Linked DNA regions of Tamandua tetradactyla. The protein of the gene in region 2 purifies or fractionates together with the protein of the main gene of each other region. This does not show direct contact. Links are inferred from orthologs where the notes say so. Each region holds a gene or a part of one and is shown on either strand. Other genes may lie near its edges.

What was found.
Region 1: the proteins of CUL4A (region 2) and COPS4 purify together in Homo sapiens (affinity purification with mass spectrometry; 7 studies listed by BioGRID and IntAct, with this or other methods). This does not show direct contact. The link is inferred for Tamandua tetradactyla from reciprocal best matches to the Homo sapiens genes CUL4A and COPS4.

The regions. Positions count from the first base shown.
Region 1 is NC_135350.1:44,643,668-44,649,974, reverse strand, and holds the start of COPS4 (COP9 signalosome complex subunit 4), read left to right. Parts: upstream 1-3,129; 5' UTR 3,130-3,332; coding exon 3,333-3,406; intron 3,407-6,307. UniProt on the Homo sapiens protein: Component of the COP9 signalosome complex (CSN), a complex involved in various cellular and developmental processes.
Region 2 is NC_135330.1:183,683,361-183,689,667, forward strand, and holds the start of CUL4A (cullin-4A), read left to right. Parts: upstream 1-2,384; 5' UTR 2,385-2,499; exon of another isoform or gene 2,500-3,287; 5' UTR 3,288-3,289; coding exon 3,290-3,446; intron 3,447-3,849; coding exon 3,850-3,996; intron 3,997-4,817; coding exon 4,818-4,933; intron 4,934-6,307. Other genes in the region: PCID2 (PCI domain-containing protein 2), read right to left, coding at 1,821-1,856. UniProt on the Homo sapiens protein: Core component of multiple cullin-RING-based E3 ubiquitin-protein ligase complexes which mediate the ubiquitination of target proteins. As a scaffold protein may contribute to catalysis through positioning of the substrate and the ubiquitin-conjugating enzyme.

The sequences.
Region 1 (6,307 bases), on a different chromosome or scaffold from region 2:
TATTCATTGCCATGATCATTTTTTGAACAGTTACATCATTCCAGAGAAAGAAATAAAAAAGGAAAAAGAAGAAACTCACACATACCATACCCCTCACCACTCCCTCTCATTGACCACTAGTATTTCCATCTGCCCAATTTATTTTAACCTTTGTTCCCCCTATTATATGTTTATTTTTTATCCATATTTTATACTCATCGGTCCATACCCTATTAAAAGGAGCAACAGACATAAGGTTTTCACAATCACACAGTCACATTATGAAAGCTGTATCATTCTACAATAATCTTCAAGAAACAAGGCTATTAGAACACAACTCTACAGTTCAGGTGCTTCCCTCCAGCCCACTCCAACACACCATAAACTAAAAAGGGGATATCTGTATAATGTGTAAGGATAACCTAATTATAACCTCTTCACTCTGTTAGAAATCTCCCAGCCACTGACACTTTATTGTCTCATTTCTCTCTTCCCCCTTTTGGTCAAGAAGTTTTCTCAATCCCTTGATGCCAGGTCTCGGGTCATACTGGGATTTCTGTCTTACGTTGTCAGGGAGGTTTACACCCATGGGAGTTATGTCCCACGTAGAGGGGAGGGCAGTGAGTTCACATGCCATGTCGGCTTAGAGAGAGAGTCCATATCTGAGCAACAAAAGAGGTTCTCTGAGGGTGAGTCTTAGGCCTAATTTTAAGTAGGCTTAACCTATCTTTCACAAGAACAAGTTTCACAGGGCAATCCCCAAGATCGAGGGCTTGGCATATTGATTTGGTTGTCCCCACTGCTTGCTAGAATAACAGAAATTCTCCAAATGGGGAAGCTGAATATTGCCCCTTTTCTCCCTATTCCCCCCAAGGGGACTTTGCAAATACTTTTTTATTCACTGTCCGTATTTCTCTGGTATTTATTGGGGCAGCACACTAATCTGGACAAACCAACAAAATCTCATGCCCTATTCAAGATTCCATGTACTTATGGTGTTAACTAAACTGACCATACAAGTTAAATTAGGAAATGCACTAACCAAAATATAAATTTTGCACCAAATAAATATCTCTCCTTTTAGTCTCACATAGAAGTTGAATTTAAAACATGGAATCATCTTAATTTTCTTAAACTTCCATTTTTACTCAAGAAACTACAAAGAAGAAACAAAAAGTAACTGGGGCAGGCTAACATATCAACAATCCTTTGTGGTGCTAATTAAGACCTCTGCCTACATGGGAAAGAAGGAACTGTGACAAACAAGTCATGCTGAAAGTAGTAAGTCAGCTACTCATTACCAGATAACCCTATTCCTACACAAACATTTTGCCTGGGCAGCTTTTGCAGATTTATGGAACCCAAATACGACCTGCCCGAAGTGACTCACGGAGCTCACATCCTCCTTGCCTTCCTGTCCCATTCTCCCATACTTTCTTTGTTCTAAGCAGGAATATAAACTGTTTCCCCGCCACTTTTCTTTGAATAGTAAATTTCTTTTAGTTCTGTTCTCACGTGTATCACTTAGATCAATAAATGTATTCTACATCTTGGTTTTCAGAGTCTGCTTTTAACTTAATGATAGACAAGGCCGTAAGAAATTGCAGTCCTATATATTGTTGGTAGGAGGTTATTATTATGGTTAAATAATACCATTTGGCACTATCTATCAAAACTGTAACCACATCTGTCCTTCAATTGTCATGTGGGAATATATTCTGCCTATACACATATAAAATGATACATATATCTAGCTATGCAGTAGATGCCATAAAACTATAGCATAACTTCACTAGTAATACTCTCCAGCTCTATGAATGACCCTCTCCATAGTTACATATTAAAATCTCCAGGAAAAGTTAAAAGAAAAAAAAAGCAAGAACAGGGCAATGATACCGTGTGCTACTTTTTTTTTGTATCTTTAAAAGTTTTTTTTAAGAGGGTGGGCTACATTTTGTGAAAGCAAGAAGGAGGAAACTTTACATTTATTTGTTTGAATTTGCAAAAAAAAGACACTATGAGGATAAATGAGTAATTAATTTAATTACATGATGGTAGGATGTGTTGAGGAAATAACTAAAAACAAAATCTTCTCCCAACCCAGAAAACTTCTCCACAAAGGTAGAAGAGAAAGAAAAACAATTTTATTATTGAATAAGCATGAAACCAGAATGTGATGCATCACAGATAATCCGCAAAGATATTGCAAAGAAAGAAATTCCACTGTTTTATATAGCCAAACAGATACAACATGTTTTCAAGATAAACAGTCTGCAAATAAAAGGACTTGACTGTATCATTTGCCACACATAGTTCATCTTAAATTCACCTGGTGATTGGGGGTGGTCTTTGTGTTTGCCAGTTGCCTCTATTAAAAAATAAAATGTCTTTTATCTCTATGAGAGGTATAGATAGTTAACAATTTGGAGCCAGATGCCTAAGTTAAACTACTATGGAGATAGGGACTTGGGTGAGAACTTCCTTGATGCTAACATTTCAGAAAGAAACCTCCTAGGTCCTGGAGAAAAATATTCCTGGATTGTAAGGCAGGCAAAAGACTACGTAGTTTTTAAGAAGATTTAAATACATCTCAAAGGGGCAGAGAAAGGATTTACAATGTCAGGTTTTCTAAAATATGTTGTAAGAAAAGTGAATTGGGGGGGAGTCTTTTTCCCTTTTTGCACTTGGGAATTTTTTTTCCTTTTTTGATTAGAATTTATGCTTACGGATGGCTGTATAATTTTTCGTCCAATAGAACAGTTTCTACAGTGAAAGGGGTACGTTATTAATAATTATTTCAGGACAAAAGATGTAAATGTCACTATCCTGGAGAAACTGGGATGTATGATCAACTTACATAAAGATTACAGACTGGTAGGGGAAATGGGGACAATTTTTATTGTATTTTACAGAAGTATTAGCCTGTAATGAATTGGAAATAAACACAACTCATTCTTTACTACAGGTAATTTTAACAGTGCTGCCTTAAAGGAGGAGGAGCAGTAAACCACAGACAGGAGCCACGGAACTTAGTGAAAACGCGACTGTTTTGAGCACCCGGCACTTGCTGGAGTTGCACAAGTGACGCACTTGGAGCTGATCAGCCAATCTGAAGTCAGACACCCTGTGAGAGCGACTTGAGCTGGCCTCTGACGTGAGTTGGGGAGTTCGCGTCACTCGGCCCTGGGGGAGGAGCTAGGTCAGGTTCTACACCCATTCTTTTTCGGCGCTCTGGCCAACACAGACGCCACTCTGTGGCATCTCGGGCTCCCTCTGACTGCGCTCTGGAGGACCACCTCGTTTTCTTTTTGGCGGCGAAAGGTTCTCCCAGCCCCGGCTGAGCGGGAAGGAAGATGGCGGCAGCCGTGCGGCAAGATTTGGCCCAGCTAATGAATTCGAGCGGCTCTCATAAAGATCTGGCGGGCAAGTGAGTGTTTCCCAGGTGCACGGGAGTAGAGAGGTGGGGAGGGAAGCCACGGGACAAGTTCTCCATGGACTGTCGGCGACTATCGCGTATGAGCGAAAAGCGAGGCCCACGACCAAGGGGGGCGGACCTGAGGTCGATGGGAGAAGCAAATGTTGGGAGCAGTAGAAAGCTGGAGGGGACCTTGTGGAGGGGCGCTTGGGGCCGTAGACCTGGAATGACAACTTGTTCAGCCCTCGATAGCATCTTTACTGGCGTCTTGGGATCCTGGAATCGCGGCCTGCGAGACAGGCCTCGGCCTCCTCCGGTGCTTTTTCCCCGTCGCTACTCGGCTTCAAGCCGACTTCTGGCCTCTCTGAGACTTTTTTTTTTAGGGACATTTGTATTCCGAGGCTCCAGTGCAGAGTTTTCCCGGGAGACAGCTTCTCAGAGCTGGCAGGCTGAGGAGGTATGGCCGCTATCATGTGTTTAGAACCACTTGGACCATCTCCTGTGGGTCCTTATCTTTTTGTTACTCTCACTAAGCCGCCGAATCAGAAGAAGGGGGCATATATTTTTGGCATAAGGCGGAATGCTCTTATAATGTGAATCAGGATGTCTAGATTGGTAATTTCCAGAATCTGGATTGCTCAGTAATTTTATTAGAATTTATGTAAAGGCTTAGGTCCACTTCAAATTAAATATTTTGACATTATGCCTGTCCCTCATCGACCTGCAGCCAGATATTTAGCAATGTTAAATATGCATACATAAATGTATGTAAGTATAAAAATACATATATAAAAGTGTACATGAATCATATACCGTTTTCGTTTTGTAGATTTCTCAGCCCTCCTTTCCCATACTAAACAAGCATTCTGTTAAAAATATGCCTTTCAAGTTGACCCAATGTTTATATCCTGACAGTGTAGACCACACCGATTTATGTTAATGGGATACACCTGCCTTTACCTGGCCATTGAATTTTTGACCCTTATTTTCTTTTTTTTAAGGTACTCTGTGCTACCTTTTCTGTGGTGGCAAATATTATCTTTTTTTTTTTTTTTGCATGGGCAGGCTCTGGGAATTGAACCCTGATTTCTGGTATGGCAGGCCAGAATTCTGCCCCTGAGCCACCGTTGCACCGCCCAAATATAATCTGCTTTTATCATTGTGAAATTTAGCTGTGTATCTTGGGCTTAATTATTTTGTGAGACAATACCCCAATCAGGAAAATGGGAATAATTATAGGACTTATACGTAGAGTTGTTTGAGGATAAAGTCAATGTGTGTTTGAGGACAAAATGAAATGTGTGTGTGTGTGTGTGTGTTGTGTACACTCGTATCACATAGAACAGTACCTGGTGCTATAAGGTTGCTGTTGGCAGTAAGTAAATACATACTGACTCATTTCATGGGTGAAAATAAGTTAACTCTGTTTCCATGGTTCAATCCTTTATTGCATGTAATTTTGATAGATTTGGATGGAAGTAAAACGAGCTTTTATTTTTCTCCATGCTTGCTTTGCTTTTTAGTTTCTTGAAGAAAATAAATGTATTAGTTATCAAAAGGGACACTGCTTTTCAAGTATTTGCGGAATTCAGAAGCTTTAGCTAAGCATTTACTTCTTCAGCTTTGAAATGGAAATAAATACTACTACCTATCTCAGAGATGCTAAGGTATCTATTGTTTAACACTTCAAAAACTTAGTGGTGTAAAAGCAGCTAGTATTTCTCAGGATTCTTTGAGTTAATAGGGCTATTTTGCTGGTTTCATTTGAGTTCACTAAGGTAGGTGAAATCAGCTGGAGGTACAGGATCTAAATGGATTCTTCCCACTGGAAGTATTCCTAAGGAGAATTGGTGGGTATAATAAAGGACATGAAGATTTTAAAGGCTTAGTGTCTGTTGCCGTATATTGTATGTCTTGTTTATGAGACTACTTGTCTCATAACACGTTAGCCGATGTCAAGTATTATTTAAAAGAAACGAACAATGAAAGAAAATGTTGCTAATTTGGCAGGCAATATAAATTTAAAAAAAGATATCTAATTATTGAATAAATGATTCTTTTTAAAATCAAGTTAGTCTCTCCTAGTAGTATAAGATCTTAAGAGTTTCCTGAGAAACTAGAACTTTGTTTAAACACTGAAGTATGAAAATTAAAAACAGGTTCCTTTAGTTACTAGTTTCTACTGGTTTTGCTAATAGCACAATGAACTGAAATCCAGTTTATTGTGTTATTAGCAAACTTGTGGAGAATTTAACTAGCTTTTTAGAGGTAGAGATAACTGAAAATAGGTAATTTACTTTGGTGAAGCATAAAGAATTAAAGTACTTAGATGGTGGATAACAATTTGCATATTTAATAAAATTCTTAAGTTTTAACTTTAAATTTAGATTTGAAAGATTAGGACAATACAGACATAAGAAAACAGAATGATTTTCTTATAATGTATGTGGAAGTTCCTGATAATTTCCTGTAGTTAACTTCACTACTTCTGAATAGTCTCCTAAAATATTTCAAAGAACTTTAGAAGAAGAGAGTCTGAGAGGGAGCATTTGGGTAGATAGTTCTTGTGATAATCTGTCTTACCTGGCTAAAACCTACTTGGTTCTTCAAAAATCAGTTCAGATGTTAACTTTTTCTAGACAGACTTCTCTAAACAACCACCAATGAATGCACAGACCCCACCCCCAGACAGGACTTACTTAGCTGCTCTTCTCATGCACAGTGGCATCTGATATTTACCACTGCCATAGCACTTGTTTTGTTTGTTTACTTTTCTGCTTTCCCAACTAGAATGTGATCTCCTCATGGACAGGTACTAGGCCATGAATATTAGGTCCTTGTCAAGTTAATCCTATGATAATATGTACTTTTTTTTTTTTTCCCCAGTTCTGGGTTATAGTAGTACACTAAGGA
Region 2 (6,307 bases):
ATGAGTATCTTCCTTGATTTTCATCCTGGACCCATTTCCCTATCCACATTCCACATCCCATCCCTTCTCACAGTCTTTTCCACAAACTTTACATTAAAAATTCTCTATATCTTCAACCTAAACTTGTCTACTGAACTCTAGACTCCCATATAGTAGAATCTTTCTTACCAACCTCACCTTAACTGACTTAACTAGAATAAGTAAGTTTCGTATTCTCTCCAAACCCTCCAAAAAAATACTGGCTGATGCCCATGGCAAGATGAGGGCTTATACCTGGTAGGTTTCACTCTAATAAACACTCAAACTTTTGCCAAGTAATTTGTGTGTGTATCCAGATCCAGATGTGTTTATCCTCACATCTGTTTTTCCTATTTGTGCATGTTATTGTAATCATGTATTTAATGACACCGATGAAATATGAATGCAAAAAGGGAGTTTCTCACAAACTAAGTTGCATGCTTTAAAAAGGGTCTTAAAAGGTGATCTTTAAAAAAAGGAATTAGGTGCAGGCAGAAAATTGAAAAAGATGAAGAAGTACATAAAATTCTATAGTGATCCTATGTTCAAATCCCCTCACAATAGCCTATGTCCTCCTTGTTAAATAAACTGACATTGAAAAATGCTAACTCTGCAAAGACAAGACAAAGTCAGACCTATCCTTAAAGTAAAGGTCTTAAGCCTATATCAAAAGATTGGCAAGGGAATGGATAGCTGTAGGTTTTAAATTCATATAAAAGTATGTAATTGTTTTTTTTCCATGATTCCCATTTTTAACCAACTATTTCAATTAACTAAGTAATTACTGGCCCAATCATGTCAACCACCAACTAGATATCTTTATTTATTTTTTCCTCCAAATCTGTTTTCTACTCATCCATTGCCTAAGCTAGAAACCTGAAAATCATTCTTAACACCTTCCTGTATCTCAAGCCACACATTCTTAATCCCAAATCCTGGTGATGTTTCCTTCAAATATTTCTTAAATTCTTTACCTCTCTTCTTCATCCTTACTACCACTGTTCTAGTTCTAGCTCTGGAAATACACATTTTAACTGTTCTTCTGCCATTTACAGGCTGTAAAGACAAAACTTCTGAGAGACACATTTACTAAAGGATATAAAGTATGCAAAGCGTTAACAGAGAGAAGGAGTGTACTAAAGGTTAACTATGACTACATAGTGGATCGCACCAGAATTACACGAATAGCCTCTTAACGATTCAGCCCCATCTCTTATTTGAGTTGCCTTAAATTCACCCTTCAAACTTCCACCAGTTAACTATCAGAAACAAAAATGTGACTAAATCAAGTCCTTGGATAAGATCCTTCAATGACTAAGGCCAAACTTCTTAGCGTGGCTTACAGACTCAACATGATCCACTAGAACACTAGAACATCATGATCCATTCACTCACACAGCTCCTTTATACACACACACACACAGACACATACATACACACACACTTCCCTAAATTAAAGGCAGCGAATCTCCTGTAAGTACAATAAATATATCTGCTTAAATCATTAATTTCCATTTTGCAGAGAAGAGCTCAGAAATATTCAGCAAACATTAATTGACTTGCTTACGATGACAGGCTAGCAGGACATTCTGACCCTTAGTCCTGAAATGCTCTATAATATCAATTCCTGCTTCAAATCCTCTTGCCCTTCAGGTGAACCATTCAGTGAAAAGAGCAATAGGCAAAGGGAAGAAATAACAGACCTCAAGAGCACTACGAAAAGATGGCACATAACGGTGACACCAGCCGAGGGGTCAACCATCAAAGCACCACCTTGTATTCTCCCCCAGCCAATAAGTTACCTGCTGTAAGTACTGGTTAATAGTGATGTGAGCCATGGAAGTGGACCGCCGAGTCCAAAGCAAGAGTGAGCAACGATCACCGCCCCTCGCTGGATCTCCAGAAATACAAGCTGAGTTCCCACTTCCGCTGGCGCGCTGGCGTCACTTCCGAGCCGTGGTCCGTCTCTCAACCCGAGCCTCCGAGGTGGTCTGGTTACACCTTCCCTTAGCTGTTGGCTCCTGAAGAATTCCCGCGGGAGCGGGAGTCAGAGATGGCTTGTCTGCGCGCTGGAACTTCCGGGCCTCAGTCGGGTGGGACAGCGGGAAAAATGGGCTGAGGAAGACCGAGTTGTGTCCTCGGGTCCTCATTTCCAATTTGGTCCCACCCAGGACGCACTGGGGCAAGTCAGATCATAGATGAAGGGATAGGTGAAGTGTCATGGGAAGGCCCCTGAGACCTGAGAGGGTTTGGGATTTCGTGGCAGAGGACAACCTCATAGCGTAGCTTGTCTTTCGACTCCTCTCGACTGTTGCATATTTAAAAAGAAAAAAAAAATCCGCTGTGTTAAACCCTCGTACGCCGCTGATCTACTCTCAGGCCCTGGTACTTGGGGTACCGGGGCGCGCACGCGCGGTGGGAGTGGCCGTTGGCCTCACGCTGAGTGACCCGGGTGGCTCGCAGAGCGGGGTCTCAGGGGAGGTGAGCGTGATTGGCCGCCCCAGAACCCCTCATCCTCTCAGGGCACCAAAGCTTCCGTGTACGCAACGGAATCCAATTACACAGATCAAGATGGAGATTGACATTAAGTCGGCCCCGAGCTGAGGGCACCTGAGCCATGGGGACGGGACGGGAGAGACGGGACTTGAGAACAATAGCAAGGGCATGAGAGTTGGCGGTTGGCAGGAAGCTCGTGGAAGACCGGGCTGAGCCACAGAGGGCAGCAGTCACTGCGGCTCGTGCAGCCACGCGCGGGGCCGGCCCCTTTTAGTCACCGACTCTCCCTTCCCGAGGCGGAGTCCCGAGGAGCCGGGCCGAGGGGAGGGGGCGGGCCTAGGAAAGTTGAGGCCGCCGGTGGGGGCGGAGAGGAGGCCGGGTTCCGGCTCCGGCCGGCGGCAGTGTTTACTCCGCACCGGCGCCGGTTCCCAGCCAAGCGGCCGTGTGGGCGCTGAGATTACTTTTATCTGGGGAAGAAGGGAGGGCTGAGAGGAACTGCTCCCCTACGTCTCCGCACAGACTCCCCCGAAACGCGCTCCCGAAGGAGACACCCCGCGGCTTCCTCCGCTCCTCAGCCTGCCGGCGGGGCCTAGCTATCACCTCCAGAGGGGGCCGGGGCACCGGGCGGGGGCGGAGAAGGAGGCGGGGAGACCAGGCCGCGGGGGAAGGAGGAGGAGGAGGAAGCGCGGCCCGGGCCGCGACTGGAGGAGGGGACAGGCCAAGGGTGGGGGTGGGGCGGAGCGGTCGCCACCGGTTTGTTTTCTCGGCTGTAGACATGGCAGACGAGACCCCCAAGAAGGGGAACTTTTCGGCTCTCGTTGGACACACCAATGGCCTAACGAAACCTGCTTCCCTCGCAGCAGCCGCCGCCGTCTCCACGAAACCTGGGGGCGGCAGCGGCTCAAAGAAATTAGTGATCAAAAATTTCCGAGGTAGGTGCAGGAGGGCGATCGTGCCTTACTGTGGGGGAGGGGAAGCTTAAGTCGAAACGGGTCACGGGCCGCACCGGCCCCGCGCGGCGTCGCCGGGACCCTGGGGAGCCCGGCGGCCAGCTTGACGCACCTCATCGAGGCTGCGGGGGTGATCGTCCCGGGAGGAAGGGGCGGCGAGAGCGGCTTCCTGCGCCCCCCGCGGGCGAGGCCGGCGCGTTGGGCCGCGCTGAGGGGACGTCGGGGCGGGGACGGCCAATGGGGAAGGGGCGCGGGTCGCCCGCCCCGCGCACGCGCCGGGCTGACCTGCGCCGACCTAGCCTGCGCTGGGCGGCGCGGAAGAGGGGCTGCGGCATTTACGCTGTGGTACTTGGTGGTCCGCCTCCCGCCACCGTCTACTTCCCAGTGTGCATGCAGGCCAACCCCTCAGCTTTCCATCGTTTGCTCGTTGGATTTCTGTGCAAGCCCTCTGTGGCTGTTCATCACGTCACTTTCAAACTTGATCATCACTTTGGTCCGGTCACCAGACGGTTTTGGACCCTACACCTTCTGGGTACGGAGTGGAGGAAGGTTTTAAAACTTGTGCAGGGGTTATAGGACAATACATTTCTTTTCTAAGATAGTAAAAGGCCCAATGAGTCGGCATTTTAACCTGATCCTGCAGGCCACGTTTCCGCAACTCTGCCGGAGTTGAGCATTTTCTACATCAAAACTAAAAAACCTTTCTTAAATGTGTGAAACAAGGGCTTTTAAAACCTTACATGACTACATGATTTTGGCGATTTATTCTGTAATTTAACAATGTGCCAAGTTTTATTTGTACCAGTTTTTTCATTACTCTGCAATTGATAGAAAATTACAAATTAGGTCAAATAATTAAGGCATCTTGATTCGCACAGCTCAACCAGAGTAACTTCTGAAGCTATACATTTTTCCAGTTTTTACCAGCCCTATCTCGGATAATAGGTCAAAGCAAGCGTTTTTGATACAGGTATATACAATCTTAAGCTCATTCTTCACCTTCCTCCCAACATTGCATAATTTAAATAATTTTAAAATATTGTGTAGAGAATAACTATTCCATGTTATTACCTTTCTGAAATCAACTTAAGGGAAAAAAACTGTAAGATTTATAAATTGTCTTTCGTGTATTTATCCGAAGTATCAATGCCGAATATATTTAGCAAAACAGAAATAATATGGTTGCATAACTTGTAACCCAATACATTTATAAATGGTGTTTAGAAAATTCACTTCCTATGTTCGTACCTATGTGTCTTTTCTTTTAAATTCTTGGTTTGTAGACCATTTTAAGAGATGTATAACTGTTAGCATGGAGGTCTTTCTGCCCTGACTCTCTATCTGGATTTGCAGACAGACCTAAATTGCCTGATAATTACACTCAGGATACATGGCAGAAGCTTCATGAGGCAGTGAAAGCCATACAAAGTAGTACCTCCATTAAATACAACCTCGAAGAGCTCTACCAGGTAAGCGTCCAAGTATGTTAAAAAGTAGAATTTGCCAGAATTTAGAGACATGAATGCAGAATTTTTCTGAACATGGAAGACTTCAAAATTTGTTTAGGATGGCATTTAGTCTCTACAATTACCTGGTTGTTTTATGGCTTAAGTTAATTATCCAATTCCTGTGAGTTACGATACAAATTTAAATTACGTAATTCGCTCAATATTGTTTTCAGAGTCAATAATGAAGGAAATAATATAAATCCAAATGTCTCACTATGTTTGCCTCATACATTAAAGGGTTGTATAAAAGTGTGTCCCACTGTCACCAATTATTTATGGTTGTTGGTTGTTGGCTTTTTATTTTGTTTTCAGGCTTAACTTGCCTAGAAAGATATTCAAGTTATCCAACTACAATAAAGAGGATAGGTATTTCTAAAAGCCACATGCCCCTAACATTTTCCAAATATGTAGCAAAATTATAGTTCTATTTTATGAAATTTGTACTACTGTTTCACTTGCTAACGTAGATTTTTTTTTCTTCTTTGTTCTTTTGATTGATTATCATGTTGGGTTATGCAGACAAAATTTGTTACATTTATTTGAAGTAATGAAATTCCATTTGTAAAGTAAGAAAAGAATGGTTAAAAGTACAGTTTGCTATTTGTATATTTCGTTTACAAATGGACTAGTTTTTCCAGTGTCTTATGTTTAAAGACTAATGTTTATTAACCAGACAATATTACTACATTTCAGGTAACAATGTCATATCACACAGTTCATTTCCATAAAAAGGGCTTGAATTTTTTTAGATTATCTTTTCTCTGGTTACATAAATGATTGCATTATTAAAATTGCAAAAAATACAAAAAAGTATAAAGAAAAAAAATTAAGTCACCTGTGCTCCCATCACCCAAAGAAAAGCACTATTGACATTTTGATGTACAAACGTCCATTCTTTGTCAAAATTCAGTTGCTCATATATATGTGAGTTAAAAGTCTTGATATCAGGTAATGTTTGTTGTCTGGCTTGATTCATTTTCAAACTAGTTTTGGCAATCTGTAAGAAATTTAGAGTCTGTTTGTCACTTTATACAAACAAGCCTGCTGAGATTTTAATTGGAATTTTTTTAGGTCTTCAGATAAATGTGTAGAGAATTCATGTCTTAACAATATTTAGCCTGTCAATCTATGAACAAGGTATAACTCTCCATTCATTTAGGCCTTCGTTAATTTCTGTCAACAATAGTGTTTTCTAGTTTCAATATACTGGTCTTACACATCTTTTGTGAAGTTTATCCCTAAGTAATATTTTTGGTGATATTATAAATGGAATTTTAAACTTTAATTTCTGATTGTTTCTTGCTAGTATATAGAAATAGTTGGGTTTTGTATATT